4 linked regions of the Drosophila melanogaster genome follow. The protein of the gene in region 3 purifies or fractionates together with the protein of the main gene of each other region. This does not show direct contact. Each region holds a gene or a part of one and is shown on either strand. Other genes may lie near its edges. The genes, in order: Polr2B, CG8117, TfIIFbeta and Mef2.

Region 1 (6,491 bases), 3.4 Mb from region 3:
GCCACTTCGCGTTCGCGGATTTACACGCAATTTCAATTACTCATAAGCCGGGCTCAGGCGGGCTGACTGATGGGTGTCAGCATGGTCTTGGCCATCAGCCCCAACATTGGTATCAGCATTGGCAGCGACACGAGTTCGGTTGGGCCGATGCTGCTCGTTCCGTCGGAGCCACGTCAAGTGGCAATTAATAACTGTCAGTCGATTGGCGGCTGTGGCTACAGCTCCACCACCTTCTCCACCGCACACAATCCACATCCGACAACAAAGAACTAATCCCTTTTGTCACTGGGCGTCACAGACCGCGGGCCAAAGCATTACGTCAAAATCAAAGAAGGCAACAAAAGCTTGGCAAAAAAATAAATGCGAATGGAAAGGCTTTCTATGTAAAAAACCGAATTTAGGATACGCTTAGGGCGAAGGTATTTTGCTGGATAATGGACTTTGTTAGGGGATTACCAAAGAAAAATTGGAGCAAATAAAGAGTCAGAACGCAGATTATTTGATGTCCTAAAACGTACAGGGATTGACAACTAAATTGCCAACAAAAATTTAATCACAAATAATACCAAAACCTTTCAATGCCCTATTTGCCCTCTCAAGAAAAGTTTGTGAGCAAAATAACTTATTACAAATAAGCAAATAAATCACATTCCACTAACAGCTCTTGAACCCGTGCAGACTTTCGCCCAAAATACGCTTGTGGCACGTTCGCGTCTTTAAAAATGCTCGGCAGGTATTCGCTCCAGTTCCGGGAATAATAGAAAATGCCACACAAAGCACATAATTGAGTTGTCACAATTATGGTAATTTAATAATTAACTGCTAGCATTTAGCTTAGGGCTATTATGTGGTCCGGTTGCGGATACCGATCTGATTAGGTGACCATCAGGCGCGGCGCAATGTTCATTGACATCAGCTCCTGGAAGAGAAGCTTGGCCGCATATGGGAGTCGCACCTGGGAAATCTGCGTCTTGTTCTTGCAGCCCTTGCACTCGAACGTATTGTTGCGCAGATTGGCGATGGCAATCAGGCCACAGAAGTTGCAGATGTGTACGCGGTACGGATCGGAGACCTCGAATAAACGTTCTCGCAGGAACTGAGCGGCGCCGTGGGAGATCTGGCAATCACGCTCCATCTCACCGAAACGCAAGCCACCATCACGAGCACGACCTTCCATAGGCTGACGCACCAGGATCTGGACGGGGCCTCGAGCACGAGAGTGAATCTTGTCGTCCACCATGTGCTTAAGACGCTGATAGTAGGTGGGCCCCAGGAAGACCTGTAGTTAAGGGACTGATTAGTTTAAGATTATTGCAAGTTGAAAGTTAAGCAATTTACCTGAGCATTAATCTTTCGTCCAGTGTGGCCATTGTACATGACCTCATTGCCTCGAAGATGATAGCCGTACTCCTGAAGGAAGGTGGAGATCTTTTGCACGTTGACGGCATCGTTGAAGGGTGTAGCATCACCGATCTCTCCCTTGTTGGATCCCAGTTTTCCCTGCAGACACTCGATCAAGTGACCAATTGTCATACGAGATGGGATAGCGTGGGGGTTAATAATGATATCGGGTGCCAATCCCTCGCATGTGAAGGCCATGTCCTCCTGACGGTACTGGATGCCGCACGTTCCCTTTTGTCCGTGACGAGAAGCGAACTTATCGCCGATCTGCGGAATACGCACCGAGCGCACTCGAATCTTGCAGAACTTGTAGCCCTCGCTGTTGAGCGTAAGCATCACCTGGTCCACAATACCCGTCTCAGAGTTTCGCAGGAAAGTGGAGGCATCTCGTTTGGAGAAACGCTTCGTGTTGCTGTCCAGTTCGTCGTCGTTTTCAGGAAGGGTAATGGTCTTGCCAATAACCACATCGTCGCCAGATACACGAATTCCTGGGGCAATAATTCCATCATCGTCTAACTTGTCGTAGTGAGCATTTCTCATTCCTTGGCAGGTGCCGCGATGAGGCTTCTCGAAGTTCTCTTCCTGATCACCGACACGTTTGTTCTCCGAATCCTTGTATGATCGGTAGAACACAGAGCGGAAGAATCCACGCTCCACAGCGGATGCATTCAGAATGACAGAATCCTCCTGGTTGTAGCCAGTGTAGCAGAGAATAGCCACGATTGAATTGATGCCAGCTGGTAGTTCTCGGAAACGCAGGTACTCCATGGAACGTGTGGTCACAAGTGGCTTCATCGGATAGTAAAGTACGTGGGCTAGTGTGTCCATACGCACGTGGAAGTTGGTAATATAAACGCCCATAGCTTGCTTACCTATAAAAGATGAAAAAAACGTTATAAATGGATTAGTATTTCAAGTAGAACAGTAATGAATACTCATAAACTTACCCATAGCGCTTTGATAGGTGTTACGCGGACTCTGATTGTGATCGGGGAAGGGAATAATGGACGCGCACACGCCCAGGATCATGGCTGGATGGATCTCACAATGTGTGTATGTGGTACAATAAGCATAATCCTTGTCCTGCTTCAGATCGTAGGGAGACATAGCGATCATGACCGTTTCCTCCTCAAGGGTATCAATGTACTCCACCACTCCAGAGGCTACAAGGACCTGCCAACTGTAGTTGTTGTAGTCTCGCTCCTTTAACATCTCCACGTGAGTCTTTTTAAGCAGCAGCGATCCGTTTTCCACGATGAGAAGTGGCCGACAAATGCGACCAGCATCTGTATAGATTCGGATCTCACGATCTCGAATGTCTCGAATCATAGACACCTCTGACACGATGATATCCATCTGGCGACGCAACTTACGAAGCGTTGCCATGAGCTGCTCAGGATCACGATGTATGCCCACCCAGCAGCCGTTCACAAAGATCTTTGTAGCATCAGCGATGGCAGAAGGAGCAATTTCCTCCAGGTTTTCCATAGACCACTCCTCCAAGAACTCCAGAATGGGAGAAGGTTGTGATCCCACAGAAATGTAAGCCATGAGCGCCAGGTTCTTCACCAGACCAACAGCTGCTCCCTCAGGAGTTTCAGCGGGACACAACATACCCCAAAGAGTATTGTGCAACTGACGAGGTTTGGCCAGTTTACCGTCTCTGCCAATTGGCGAATTCACACGCCGCAAATGGGAAAGAGTAGAGGCGAAGGTCAAGCGATTCAACACCTGGGAGACACCGGCTCTCGCCTGATGCGCCTTCTTCTGGTCGCCCCAATTGCCAGTGGCCAAGGAATACCTTAAACCATCAGTAATAATATTAGTCTTGATGGCCAGTTCAAGGTTGAAGTCCTTTCCGCGATCGATGAACTTCTGTGTGTACATGCGCACCTCTTTCATCAGGTTTTTGAACAGACCACGGAAGAGGAAGGCCAGGAGGGGTCCAGCGAGATCAAGTCGCTTGTTTCCATAGTGATCTCGATCATCGAGTTCTCTCCTGCCCAAAGAGGCTAAGAGCAGCCGGTGAACCATGTAGCCCAAAAAGTATGCCTTCTTGGTCTCGCAGAAATCGGATACTCCAACGTGGGGCAGCATTTCCTTTTGCAAAATTTCCTTAGCGTACTTTATACGCTTGTCTTTTGTGACTCCGGGACGTGCTCCTCTAGCTCCAATGAAATTCAAGGCAACATTCTGCTCTTGGACTACAAAAGCCTCGTCCAGAGAAGGTTTCACCATTTCCATCATCTCGGGATCGTCGAAGTCATAGATGATATGCTCCAGAATATCGCGATCGGCCACGAAGCCCAATGCTCGAAACACAATCATAATGGGTATCTCCTGTTTGATGTACGGTAAGATGGCAATAATCCTCTGACCAATGGCTGACTTTTTTATGTTTTGCGATCCTCTTGCCATCATGTTTACCCACAGTGTAGACGTGGGTCTGGAACTGTGCTCCAAACACGACCGAATCTCAGTCTTAAAGGCATACTTGCCATCTTTCATGCTGAACACGTACACTGTGTTGGTGGCCATTTTCTCTTGGGCAATTAGCACCTTCTCGGAGCCGTTGATGATGAAGTAGCCACCGGGATCCAACGGGCACTCGTTCAGCTCCGTAAGATCACGATCAGTAAGCTGTGATAGCAAACAGTACGTTGATCTCAACATGATGGGAATCTTGCCTATGAAAGTCTTTTGATGCTGCGTTTCCACGGGATCCAGGCCCTCGACATTCTTGGTTTTCGTAATGTCCACGTAGAGAGGAGCGGAGTAAGTTAGATTTCGCAGGCGGGCCTCGTTCGGCATCATAGGACTGGGCGAACCATCCTTTTCCCAATGTGTTGGCTTGGAAAGATAGATTTGCTCGAATTTCAGCGAGAATCTGGGCGGGGTTTCCACCTCTCCGGATGTGTGCTGCGCTTCCGCCTGCAACTCAATGGCGGGGGAATCCTCCACAATGCGCTGCACCGACATCTGAATGAACTCATCGAAACTGTCCAGCTGCTGCCGCACCAAGCCCTTCTCGTCGAAGTACGCGTTAATCACGATCCAGCAGGCTTCCTGCCACAGCTCGTGAGAGATCTCCTCGGCATTCTCCTCCTCGTACAGTTCTGCAAGATGTTATTTGACCATTGAAATTCATTGCTAACAATGCGGAGCCCTAGCGCTCCAGCCGCCATATTAATTTTGGTACACGCCAACGTGCATGCACAAATTTTCGCAATTCATTTTACTCACCTTCCTCGTTGTCGTACATCATGATTTCAGTTTTCTAAAGTGCAGAAGCACTTTATGCGTTCAAGTAAATAACAATAAATTGGATTTGCAATGAATTAAATTGTAAAAACGTAGAAAATTTCACAACAAATGTTTGCCGACAACGCGATTAGCGGCGTTGTGCTGTGTTGGTAAACGGCAAAAGCAAAGCACAAGGTGCAGTTCATAAAGTTATAGCAAATACTTGTAAACACAATAAAATTGTTTTTGGCAACAAAATAAATTTAAAAGTGTGAATGATATAAGAAAAAAATATATGAACAACTAAATGAGTATGTAACTTAAATTATTATAATAATATAATTTTATTAATAACAAACGCATTTAAATTAAAAACAATTAAACCGAGAGTTTGCCAACACCAATGACACGCACACTTTCCAACACTAACAGACCGGCAAACAGCTGAGATTGTTGTACTCGTTTTACTTGGTTATTTAACACGCTTAAAAAATGAATTTTCTGTGGAAAGGACGCCGGTTTCTGATCGCAGGCATCCTGCCAACATTCGAAGGCGCCGCAGATGAAATAGTCGATAAGGAAAACAAAACATACAAGGCCTTTCTGGCCAGTAAACCACCAGAGGAAACAGGACTGGAGCGCCTCAAGCAAATGTTTACAATCGAGTAGGAAAACTAAGAATTCCATTTATACTAAAATCTACTGACCGTACATAAACATTTAAATAGCGAGTTTGGCAGCATATCCTCCGAGCTTAACTCGGTTTACCAGGCCGGCTTCCTAGGATTCCTTATTGGAGCTATTTACGGCGGAGTTACACAATCGCGCGTGGCCTACATGAATTTCATGGAGAACAACCAGGCCACAGCATTTAAATCGCACTTTGATGCCAAGGTAGGTATCTACGTATTATCATTTAAATATGTTATAATCAAGTTTTTAATCATAATTACAGAAAAAGCTGCAAGATCAATTCACAGTCAACTTTGCCAAAGGCGGCTTCAAATGGGGCTGGCGAGTGGGACTTTTTACCACATCCTACTTGTAAGTTCAGCAACACGAATTCAAATCTGTATCTGTGTGATACAAAAATGTGTTCCTTACAGCGGCATCATCACTTGTATGTCGGTGTACCGTGGAAAATCCTCAATCTACGAATACTTGGCCGCTGGTTCCATCACCGGCTCGCTTTACAAAGTGAGTCTTGGTCTGCGGGGCATGGCGGCAGGTGGAATCATTGGAGGTTTCTTGGGCGGCGTGGCTGGTGTGACGTCGCTGCTGCTGATGAAAGCATCAGGGACCTCGATGGAAGAGGTTCGCTACTGGCAGTACAAATGGCGACTCGATCGCGACGAAAACATTCAACAGGCGTTCAAAAAACTGACAGAGGACGAAAACCCAGAGCTTTTCAAGGCCCACGACGAGAAAACATCCGAACATGTATCGCTGGACACGATCAAGTGAGTCCTGAGGACTTAAAGAAGACGCCAGTGTGAACTTAGTTACTTTTTTTAATTTAAATAAATTGCATATATGTCCATCTAAAGTTACATAGACAAGAATACATTTAAGGAAGCCCACTTTGGCGGCTGCTATGCGATGTTTCAGTTGATGCCTAGTGCCTCTAAAGATATCGACTGACGTACGGACACATATAGACACGGGATAGACACAACACAAAAGAAATAAACGATTGGATACAATAAATTAAATGCTCTGCTAGGAAACAGTACGTAGAAGGGCGATAAACAGAATTGACTCGGTGGGATCGGGATTCAGACTTAGTCCTCTGCGGTGGGACGCGTGAGGCGCTTGGCGCCTCGGTTTGGTGGCCCCTTGGGCTTGGC
Region 2 (3,154 bases), on a different chromosome or scaffold from region 3:
GTTGCTTTACGACGGCGGATATTAATTAATTGGCCCGTCTCTGGGGAGCAATTCCCATTGTGCCCATCAAGAGTCCACCTATCATCCCAGTTCGCAGTCCAAACCTGAATCCCAAACCCATAATCCCATTCAATGCCGTTAATGTGGGCCATAAAGCAAATGCTTTAACGTCTATAATTTGTCTGCACTTGGAAACGACCCACGCATACTAAACATAGTATACTATACTATATATACCATCTCATCCAATTCAATTCAATCCAATTCAATCCCATCCGATCCCACCCACTCCGAGATCATCGCGCCGAATGATTCATTAAAGTGTAAAGTGCTAACTAATAGTCGAAAAATTCATTAAATTAACGCTCGCGCTATGCTCGTTTTTTATACAAGCAAACTCGTATATTGTTGAATGTTTATGAAACAAAGATTTGCTTTCTTTCGGACTTTCGGTGCTAGTTTATCTGCTTTCGCAGGCGAACAAAGGAGCATCCATCGATGATGGACTCATTGATACCCTCTGGTATTTAAAACGAATGAATAAGATTTTTATGACATGTAATATATTTCCATAATATGTATGTTGTATGTTGTATGTTGTATGTATTCTTGTTAAAGTATTATTTACATATTGTGGAAGCCAACGGAAGATCAGTCTGTTTATTGATATGAGATATTGTGAATTGTGTGAGTTCGTTTGCTTGGTATCCAGCCAAGACGGGTGACTCCTTCAAGGGACTCTCTCCACGGTTGTCTAGCTCTTCCAGCGGTTGCCGCACTCGTCGCATATCACAAAGGTGATAATGGGCTCGTCACCATCACGGATATGCAATTGGCTGCAGTTGCGTTTGTCGCAGCGTTCGCATTTGAACTGATCCGTCTTGGTGCCCTGAACCTTGGCCATCTGTGCCGCATTGATCGAGTCCTGAACGTACTTCTGGCGCATCTGCTTCATATCATCGCTGGCCATCTCCTCGGGCGTCATCTTGGATAACTCTTCGGGCGTTATTTGACCTAATAGGAACTTCTGGCGCAGCTCTGGATTCTTCGGATCGCGCAAGTTGGCCAAACGCGAACGTATGCGATTTTTGTACTTCACCTTGCAGCCGTTCAAGTCGCCGTAAATTGCGTCCTCCAGTTTAGCGGCCATGTCATCCGGATCGCCACATCCTGGTGGCATGTTGCCCGATTTCAATGCGGTTGCCAACATCTCGCGGCACTTGATGCGTATTTCCATGGACATGGCTGCAAAATCGAAAGAAAGTTTAGTGAATTTATTCAACGAAACCGGAAAGCACAATTTTTAGATTGTGAGAAGTTGAGAGGTCACTGAGAGATGTCTAAGCTGACAGGAACGGCAAGGTAAATGAAGGTTTTTACTCGGCAACTTTACAACCCAACTTGATTAAGGTCTAAATATTTCGGATTTATTATGCAATATTTCTACTTAATCATTTCTTAACCGTTGTGATTAGCATGTAATTAGTATGAATTTGAATAGATAAATCTACATATGTATAAATGTTCGATTTGGGAATCCCCTGCGTAATGCATCACTATTCCATAACGCCCGCTGTGGCCCCCAAGAAATGTGCTAAAATTGGACACTGAAAGGAAAACCAAACACAAATGAAAATCAAAATCGAAATGGAAATGATATTTCCCATTTAGTCTATATGTTTGTGTTTGTCGTTCCGCTTTCTTTGTGCGCCGCTGGCTTTTGATTTCGCTAATCGTCTACAACAAACAGCGCGGAGATGATCTAATTATTGACGCACGAATCCCGCAGAAGCACCAAAAACAAAAGGAAAATGAGTAATAAAAAAAAAAAGGAAAATGGGAAATGGAAAATTGAAATATTGAAAAGCCAAACAACAGTGACGAAGGGGGGGGGGGGGGGGTAGCCACAAAAAGTAGGAAAAAAGCCCAAGCGAGCGAAATTGAAAACAAAATCGAAATCATTATCCAAGTCATTAGCTTTTTAGCGAATCGTTCTTTTTATTGTTGCCGGATATAAATCTGCTAATGTACTTAACCACACAAACATCTAAAACACCCACCACCCAGCCACACCCCCGCTTGCCAACGTCCCACTTGGCTTCGCTTTCGTCCCACTGTGCGTGCGCGTTTTTCTAGCGTTTTTAAACGCCTCCGCCGACCTTCAACTGTTAAACTTGACGACCTCAGCGTAACGTAAACAGCCGCCATCGATTCGAAGCTACCCAAATATAAAGATACAAATGTATCTATCTATCAATGGTCTGGGGAATTGGTTCACGGCCGATTACTGACCTTGGCGGCCTTTTGTCTTTCACCTTTCGGCCAACAACGTATTTGGCTTGGTAAACAAGCCCCAGAACAATGGGTAAAACCTTGAACCTTTGTGGCCAATCAATTTCTCCAGATTGGCGAAAATAAAAAGAAAGTGTGTGGCCAACATGAGGGGCAACCAAAGAAAATTTAAGAAAATATCTCAAATATGTTCCTGTTTCAAACTACTGTTCAAAATACATTAGCTTTTGGATAACATTCTTGCAAAATCTTAAATCAAATTGAAGAAAAATCTTAAAAAACACAAATATAAGTAAATAAAGTTTGGACAATGTGGTTTATGTATAATATATTACAAAACATTTGAATGATTACATGAAGATCGATGAGGATTTACTAATAACTCCTGCAGAATCATCAATTATGTGTGAATAAAACTTAAAATGTCCCACTTAAATAGTTAAATTCCAGTACGCAGCAATTTTCCACTAATTTACCTCGATCAATTTGCATTTTCCAAGTTTTCTAAAGTCCAATTGTTGGTTGGTTGGCTGGCTGCCTGGCTGGATGGTTGAATCGATGGCTGGATGAACGTTTCCCATCGCCGGAGTGCAGTTACATTCGCTGCCTATTTGTCTCCCGTCGAAGCCAGCCCACTGCCACGCCCACCCGCCCGCTACGCCCCCGGCGTGGCATTCTTTCACCTTGGCTACGTGATGCCATGGCGTGATCGTGTAACAATGCGAGTGATTAGTACGCGCCGGCGTTCAAAATGCGCAATCCGCCGATGGCAGCGAACTTGCCTTTTTTTTTTTTTACCTTTTTTAACTTTTTTTTCACCGTCATCGTTTTTTGTTGTGTTTGTTGTTGTTGTTGGACTGTA
Region 3 (3,323 bases):
GACATTAGCCGAGTGAACAACAAAGTGAAGGATATTTAATGTAAAATGAAAAATAAGATACAAATGCATAGGCACTGTGGTGAAGGCTCTTCTGACAAGCATTACATTTCAGATGCCGAGTTGGATCCTAACCGTCCATCTAGAAAATTTTCTGCCCCTAGGCCCCTGGAGGATCCCCTCGATGTGGAGGCCAAGGAGAAACAGCGTCTGCGCCAGGAGCGTCTTCTAACCGTTAACGAAGAGGCTCTCGACGAGGTGGACTTGGAAAAGAAGCGTGCCCAGAAAGCCGATGAAGCCAAGCGTAGGGAAGAGAGGTGGGTGCTCACTACCTACACCAGCTCATAGCTCATTTCCTATTAAATTTTTGATGTTTCCGAAGGGCTCTCAAGGAGGAGAGGGATCGCCTGACGGCTGAGGCCGAAAAGCAGGCTGCTGCTAAGGCCAAAAAGGCTGCCGAGGAGGCCGCCAAAATCGCTGCCGAAGAGGCTCTCCTGGCTGAAGCTGCCGCCCAAAAAGCAGCCGAAGAAGCTAAAGCCCTAAAAGCCGCTGAAGATGCTGCCCAGAAAGCTGCCGAAGAAGCGCGTCTAGCGGAGGAGGCTGCCGCCCAAAAGGTCGCCGAGGAAGCTGCCCAAAAAGCTGCTGAGGAAGCTCGCCTAGCAGAGGAGGCAGCCGCCCAAAAGGCCGCCGAGGAAGCTGCCCAAAAGGCTGCCGAAGAAGCCGCTTTAAAGGCAGCCGAAGAGGCTCGTCTGGCTGAAGAAGCTGCCCAAAAGGCCGCCGAAGAAGCCGCACTGAAGGCTGTAGAGGAGGCTCGTGCCGCCGAAGAAGCTGCCCAAAAGGCCGCCGAAGAGGCTCGTGTCGCTGAAGAGGCTCGCCTGGAGGAGGAGCAGCGTGTCCGTGAGCAGGAGCTGGAGCGCCTGGCGGAGATCGAGAAGGAGAGTGAGGGAGAACTTGCTCGCCAGGCCGCCGAGCTGGCCGAGATCGCCCGCCAGGAATCCGAGCTTGCCGCCCAGGAACTGCAGGCCATCCAGAAGAACGAGAACGAGACCAGCGAGCCTGTGGTCGAAGAGCCCGTCACGCCCGTTGAGGAACAGGAACCGATCATCGAGCTCGGCTCTAATGTTACCCCCACTGGTGGTAATAGCTACGAGGAGGATCTCGATGCGGAGGAGGAGGAGGACGAGGAAGAGGAGGAGGAATAGATTCTACACAATCACCATGCTGTCAACCTAATTTAAAAAGAATGAAAAAACAATAAAAATATTAGAAAAACAATTTAATAGGGCAATGGGGTGGATAATGCTGGATAAGGTGTCACATCAATTCATAAATTCATCTTAAATCAATACAATGTTGTGTTCTAAATTTAGTCATAAAATTTGCTGAATAAATCAAAATTAAGATATCATATTCTTTCTAAGACATTTCATTATAAAAGTTATTTCTTATGTTCTAAAGTTCTTGCTAACTATATAAAATTCAGATATGTAAATAGTTCTATTTCGTTATCTGCACTTCGGACTTTTTCAAACTTGGCGCCTAATAATAACATAACGAATAAATACCGAAAGAAAAATACCGTGATATACTAAACTAGCATTTTTTCGAAACTGTTTATTCGACCGCACTAAATTTACGGCAAAACAACAACAACAAGCAAAGCCGAAAACGGTACAAGTGGCTTTGCAAATTCGTTTTTAATAATTTAAAGCAAACAGAATGTCGAAGGAGGATAAGGAAAAGACACAGATCATCGACAAGGACCTGGACCTGTCCAATGCTGGGCGAGGCGTATGGCTGGTGAAGGTGCCCAAGTACATTGCCCAGAAATGGGAGAAGGCGCCGACGAACATGGACGTGGGCAAGCTCCGGATAAACAAGACACCTGGCCAAAAGGCCCAGGTCTCGCTTTCCCTCACGCCCGCCGTTTTGGCTCTAGATCCCGAGGAGAAAATACCCACCGAGCACATCCTGGACGTGTCGCAGGTCACCAAGCAGACGCTCGGCGTATTCTCGCACATGGCACCGTCCGATGGCAAGGAGAACTCGACTACCTCGGCGGCACAGCCGGATAACGAAAAGTTGTATATGGAGGGCAGGATTGTGCAAAAGCTAGAGTGCCGACCCATCGCCGACAACTGCTACATGAAACTAAAGCTGGAGTCCATACGCAAGGCATCGGAACCACAGCGACGTGTGCAGCCTATCGACAAAATCGTGCAGAACTTTAAGCCTGTAAAAGACCACGCACACAACGTGAGAACAATAATACACTCTGTTTTGGTAATATATATGTATATATAACTCCTCCATTCCTGCAGATTGAATATCGGGAGCGAAAGAAGGCCGAGGGCAAGAAGGCGCGCGACGACAAGAATGCCGTGATGGATATGCTCTTCCACGCATTCGAGAAGCATCAATACTATAACATCAAGGATCTGGTCAAGATCACCAACCAGCCGATTAGCTACCTGAAGGAGATTCTCAAGGATGTCTGCGATTACAATATGAAGAACCCGCACAAGAACATGTGGGAGCTCAAGAAAGAATATCGCCACTACAAGACTGAAGAGAAGAAAGAGGAGGAGCACAAGTCAGGCAGCAGCGACTCGGAGTAGCATTGGGAGAATCGCCGACTTACTTTCATTAAAACACATTAAGTAATTGCATGGTTCCGTTTTATTCCTTAAGAACTACACGTTATACTTACGAAAAAAACATTATATCTTAAAATGATTGTAAATAGACACTAGCTTGCACTCTGGTAAATACATACGTATATATACACTTTATCCTTAATTTATCTTGAACTTTGTCTTATGTCCGAAGAGTTCTTATGTTTATACTTTTGTACAGACGAGATCAGGTACTTGAATTTAGTACTATCAGCTCATGAGGATTTCCAAAACACGCGCTTCGTCAATCAAAAAGTCATTTGTCTATTTTTGTTCTAAATCAAAGGAGGTATAGTGTTAAATTTTTAGGAAATCATAGAAATAATAAGAATACGAAATAAATCTATTCGTAGGTAAAGTAAAATAAATCAAAAATGTTCAAAAGAAATAGAAATTAATAAAAATGTGAAAATTTCATAAGCAACTAAAAGCGTCGTAAAAAGTTAAAAAAGTGAAGTGAAAGAAAAACTAAAAAACGGCTTCATGCTTAGGAAAATCGAGCTTAGATAATACTGGTTTACTACTCTAAAGAAATATTGATTCATACATCGATAAGCTTAAGCTAAAGCATTCTTTCTATTGCAAGCTTCCTAATAATACGTAACTAAAACTTACATTTGTACACGATTGCGGGTAAATAATCTGGCAAGA
Region 4 (4,893 bases), on a different chromosome or scaffold from region 3:
GAAAGTCACGTTAAAGTTGCGTCCACTTAACTGCAACTGCAATATGGGCATTCCTTAAGATTTCACCTCCCTTAATGTCCTTTTGTCTGTGTTTTAACTATCACTCCAGTTATTAAATCGCAACTTACAGTAAACAAGAAAATCTTTTAATATATTTTCTTATTGATTTAAATGCCATATGGTAATGGCTAATCACTAAAATTCTCGCTATTGGAAATATTTTTATTATGTATAAATAGACGCAAAATCATTTCCTATATGGGTTAGAACTATAGATGGCTGGAAAGTAGCCACAGCTTTTATTTGCCTCCCAGATGTGGACTAATCACATACAACGTTCCCAATTTTCCTGCTTTTATAAAAGTCGATTTTTGTAATAAACTCTATTGGGATCAAGTTGGGGTACATGTATCCCTACTTTATTATCTTTTCGCCTACATAACCTGCATAATAGAGCGTGTTTAAGGTAAATAATATCTCGCTTAACGCAACAATAGACAGGGTCTGGGTCACAGGGCTTTGGATCCCACTTGGCTGGCTGGCGGTCCGATTCACAAATTAAGCCCCAACTTCAGCCATACAACTACTTTACCTCTGTCTGAATAGGCAATCATCAATCGAGCAGAAACAATGAATCGTTGGTTGCCGCACACCCTAGGATCCTACGGGTCCTACTCTTTGTCCCTTCCGATTCCTTCCTGTTTGTTTTGTGTACCCGCCAGCAGACGAATTACAGGATATGTTGTATGTTGTATCGCACAAAATTAGGTAACAAATGAAAAAAGGATTTACGCTTTATTTTTTCTGAATCAAGTTCAACATTCTAGTTTACGTTCACATCGGAGCTAAGAAGCTAAACAGCTGTCACAATTCCAAAGTTAATATAACCTATTAAAAATGAAATTAATTTTAATGATAGTTATATCATACTTCGCGTTTCTAAAAGGCGTAACCACAGCCAGTAAGTATGCCCCATCTTTTGTAACAGGGTATCGAGTATATACTTACCTTTTTTTCTACTGCCAAACGCAGGTCAACAAAGTTTTTATTAAGCTGCGTCGAAGGGGAAAACTAATGGTGGGTGGGTGTTTATAGAGAGGATCCAGTGGCAAGGACAAATAAATAAAATACACACAAAAAAAAAACCAGATAGTGGGCAAAGCGGGAGGGGAGAGGTCCTGGCAGGGCAGGGAGATACGGATACAAAGGAAAACGGAAACCAAAGCGATGTTTAGCAGGGGTGTAGTTAATGGGGGTGGTGAAGTGGGGGATAATTAACATTTATGGGAGGTTGCCAGAGCGGGACAACAAGCTCGGCGAGGGAACTAACTGTAACTGTTGCTGATTGATCAAGTGTGTGGGTGAGTGTGCGTGTGTGTGTGTCTGGCTGGGGCACAAACAAAAACCATATGTTTCTCGTTCGACTCCCGCACGCACTCACTCACAAACCGAATTACTCACTCACCCCCACCAGCCCCACACTCTAACCCCCCGCCACCTCTCGCTCACTCTTGCTTTCGTTGTGAGTAGGAACTCAAAGTCAGCGGCTGCGCACTCTCTCCGTCTCTCCCGCTCTCCGATTGCCCGGCAATGTATGTGTGCGATATTCTGTTACACAAAAAGGCAAAAACAAAAGGCACCGTTAGAAGGTGTGCGCGTGTGAGTGAGTTCACCACGAAACGAAAATCCTCACCGCCAGCCTACGTATACGTGTTCGTTGCTGGCTGTGCGTGTGTGTGTTAGTGTGCGACTGCGAGAGAGCCTGGCGCAGTGCAGCTGTGTGCGGGCGTATCTGTGTGTGCGTACTTGGCGTTACGACGTCAACGACGGCATATCCGTCAGTACGTTTGTACGCGTCCGCAGCGCCGCTTCTTCAGTTTTTCGGTTTTCGGGATTTCGAGATTTTGAGATTTCGATTCGATTCGATTTCGGCAGATCAGTTTGCGATCCGTTTGCGAGTTCGATATTTTCATTCCGAGCCAACGATCCAACGATCCGATTCCGCTAGCGATTCACAACAGATAGAGATCCTATATCGAACGCCGCGAGAAATTATGCTGGCCCGCTGCTCTCGCACTACGCGCAATAATTTATTTTTACTCCATATAAACAAATTCAACGTCTATTTCCAAAAATAAATGGCAACAATAATAAAAATAACAACAGCCGTCGGACAATTATAAGTTTTTATTTTTAACTTTTATTTGCGCCAACCGCGGCCGCGACATCCCCGCCCCCGCCTGCCCGGACTTTGTTTATATTTACAAAAAGCTAAAGCACACGACAAACACAACAGCAAACATATCACTGACTGCATTTCGCCCCGATGTTTATCGAACGAGCGGCGTAAACAAAGCCAGAATTCAAACAATAATTCAATTTGCATCTCAATTGCAAAGATTTTCGTGTGTGTGCTCGGAAACATTTGTGCAAACACCTCGCCAGCGACCTGACATCCCCAGAAAAGTTCAAAACTCGTCGGTTTCTATTGAGTAGTGTATTTTTGAGAACATTTTTTCGAGAAAACGGAAGCTCAGCTAAAAAGCGATTCATGTAAGTTTATCTACTGCAATGAGGAATGTTTTTGGTTTGAAAACTAGTTTTTAAAACCAAAGTACCTTTGCGAAATGGGTAGAAAGATTTTCATTCTTGTATTAAGAATAATTTTTCCTGTTTGTGATAACCATTTGACTTATATTTATGAGCGTCATAAAATCCAATTGAATGCCTCATTACATTATAAGTGATTTTCGGTTAGTCATACTTTTGAGACACATTGTTAAATTAATTATAAATTATGAATTATAAAACCTAATTTTGGTTATCATATCCACCTTTGCTCATTGAGCTATTATTCCGCCCAAAGGCTTAGTAATTATTTACAGATCATCGATGGGCTGTAAACCCCTCCTTTCATATGCCGATAGGGCAATTTGATTATATATAATTTACAATTACAAAAACACTGGCAGCCGGCATGTCGGGAACCAAATAAGCAAGTTACCCATGCACACTGACGTCATCGCTGAGCCAAACGTTGGGATTCCGAAGAAAAAAAAAAGAGATATCGGCCGGGTTTTCGAATTGTGCCTCGCTGTCTTGATTCCAGTTCAAACAGTTCCCTTTCAATTGATATCATTCGATGTTTCAATTTCTTTTCTTGCGATTTAATGCTGAGAGTAGCTGCCATACACTCGGACGGGCGAACACGCACACACAAATACTATATACGTTCCACTGATAAGCGATTTTCGTATCAATATTGAGGGCCCGCGAGAACCGTACTCCTCCGGCGAAGTTCAAATCCATTTCCCTGCTATCAAGTTCTTTTGCATGTAGTTTTTATGGCCGACCGACCGACCAACCGACTAACTGACTGATTGACTGGCTGGCTGGCTGGCTGGCTGATTGGCGAATTTGCTGATAATTGTCTGCACTTTGTTTCAGCCAGCAGCAAATGCACAGAGAATTATATTTTCTCTTATCTCGCCTCAGGCAGCTGGACATGCGTGCAATGCACTTTGACACCTACGCAGGATCATAAGGGGGGTCGCGTGGGAAGGGAGTAGGGGAATTTCGTTTCGATCCAGGGAGCAGTGGGTTCAAATAACAAACAAAGCCATTCGAAGGCGATAATCACCGCAGATTTGCCGTGGACTTAGCCACGGCGATCGCCGATAAACGATTACGGTCATTCGGCATTGCAGAGCCTAGATAACGGGACCCCACCTCCGATCACGTTCACGTTCGGACCATCATCACGACCATCATTAACCTCCGAGATCTTTAACACTATTTGGTGTAGTCACGTTTGGGTCGCGTTTGTATTTTAAGTGTTCCATCAATAGAGAAATTATAATATTATTTATTTATTTTCTTTTTTGTATTTTAAGTGTTCCATCAATAGAGAAATTATAATATTATTTATTTATTTTCTTTATTATTTCATTATTATTTATCTCATTCTATAACAATTTAGTTATTTCCAATACCTAAAGCTTCATAAGTTAAGCGAAAAAATAAATGTTTTAACTGTTTTTTTTTTTTGGATGCCTTTCAATTAGTTTTGAAATTCAAAAATGACACACGATTCTGAAAAACTGCAAGTAAAATAAAGAATACAATCCATGAAGGAAAACCCACAAACGACATCTTATCAGGTCAAAATAATTTGTTGGCAAATTTTCAACGAAAAATAGTTGAGTTACGTTTGTTGTTGGCGTTTTCGGTGCTTGATAAAAAATTCGAAATCAAAATTTGTTTTATTTGCTCGTGTTTTTTTTTTTTTGCGGCCACTATCTGCCATCGAGAGCGAGAGTCTTTCTTATCACACGTGCGCATGTGAAGGTGCCCACGCTCACTGACAAGCCAAATGAAGCACAATCTGGTCGATGTGTTGGTGTAGTTATTAAAAAAATAAATGTTCCTTTGCCATTTGCCGTGTTTGCGGCTCTCGAGTGTCTGTGATAATTATGGTTATTGCCGCCGCGCTCCCCCACATATATTGTATATAAAAATAAAAATAATAATAATTATTATTATTATAACGATTTCTTTCTGTTTGCGCCTGTGTTTTGGTTTAGCTCCCTCCCCCACACTCCGCCCGCTTTTGCGGCTGTGTAGGTGCTGGCGATAAGATAGAAGTGCTCTAGGTGTACTTCTAGGTGACTCGGGGCCCGAGAACTCAAATTTGTTCGACTACCTTAACATGAGACGCGTGTTTCGGGGCGAAAAACAAAAACCTTGGATTCTTTTGCTTTTGCTGGCATTTCTGCAATCGAAATTGTTGATAAACGCGGTGCAGGAAGAGAGCCAGATATCGCGGAGCCAATGCGATTGCTTGCAAAAATATTGGAAATCGAAGTTTGCCGATATTTCACTTGCTTCAAACAG

The links.
Region 1: the proteins of TfIIFbeta (region 3) and Polr2B purify together in Drosophila melanogaster (affinity purification with mass spectrometry, with the first as the bait; one large-scale study listed by BioGRID). This does not show direct contact.
Region 2: the proteins of TfIIFbeta (region 3) and CG8117 purify together in Drosophila melanogaster (affinity purification with mass spectrometry, with the first as the bait; one large-scale study listed by BioGRID). This does not show direct contact.
Region 4: the proteins of TfIIFbeta (region 3) and Mef2 purify together in Drosophila melanogaster (affinity purification with mass spectrometry, with the first as the bait; one large-scale study listed by BioGRID). This does not show direct contact.

The regions. Positions count from the first base shown.
Region 1 is NT_033777.3:14,124,122-14,130,612, reverse strand, and holds Polr2B (RNA polymerase II subunit B), read right to left. Parts: upstream 4,823-6,491; 5' UTR 4,667-4,822; coding exon 4,645-4,666; intron 4,518-4,644; coding exon 2,349-4,517; intron 2,274-2,348; coding exon 1,339-2,273; intron 1,280-1,338; coding exon 875-1,279; 3' UTR 502-874; downstream 1-501. Other genes in the region: 140up (upstream of RpII140), read left to right, coding at 5,137-5,309, 5,373-5,538, 5,600-5,688, 5,751-6,108; twf (twinfilin), read right to left, coding at 6,426-6,491. UniProt on the Drosophila melanogaster protein: DNA-dependent RNA polymerase catalyzes the transcription of DNA into RNA using the four ribonucleoside triphosphates as substrates. Second largest component of RNA polymerase II which synthesizes mRNA precursors and many functional non-coding RNAs.
Region 2 is NC_004354.4:15,642,380-15,645,533, reverse strand, and holds CG8117 (uncharacterized protein), read right to left. Parts: upstream 1,313-3,154; 5' UTR 1,244-1,312; coding exon 755-1,243; 3' UTR 543-754; downstream 1-542.
Region 3 is NT_033777.3:10,766,093-10,769,415, reverse strand, and holds TfIIFbeta (transcription factor TFIIFbeta), read left to right. Parts: upstream 1-1,611; 5' UTR 1,612-1,716; coding exon 1,717-2,253; intron 2,254-2,318; coding exon 2,319-2,615; 3' UTR 2,616-2,794; downstream 2,795-3,323. Other genes in the region: CG45076 (uncharacterized protein), read left to right, coding at 113-314, 380-1,199. UniProt on the Drosophila melanogaster protein: TFIIF is a general transcription initiation factor that binds to RNA polymerase II and helps to recruit it to the initiation complex in collaboration with TFIIB.
Region 4 is NT_033778.4:9,926,560-9,931,452, reverse strand, and holds the start of Mef2 (myocyte enhancer factor 2), read left to right. Parts: upstream 1-1,837; 5' UTR 1,838-2,553; intron 2,554-4,583; 5' UTR 4,584-4,893. UniProt on the Drosophila melanogaster protein: Transcription factor that could be a key player in early mesoderm differentiation and may be required for subsequent cell fate specifications within the somatic and visceral/heart mesodermal layers.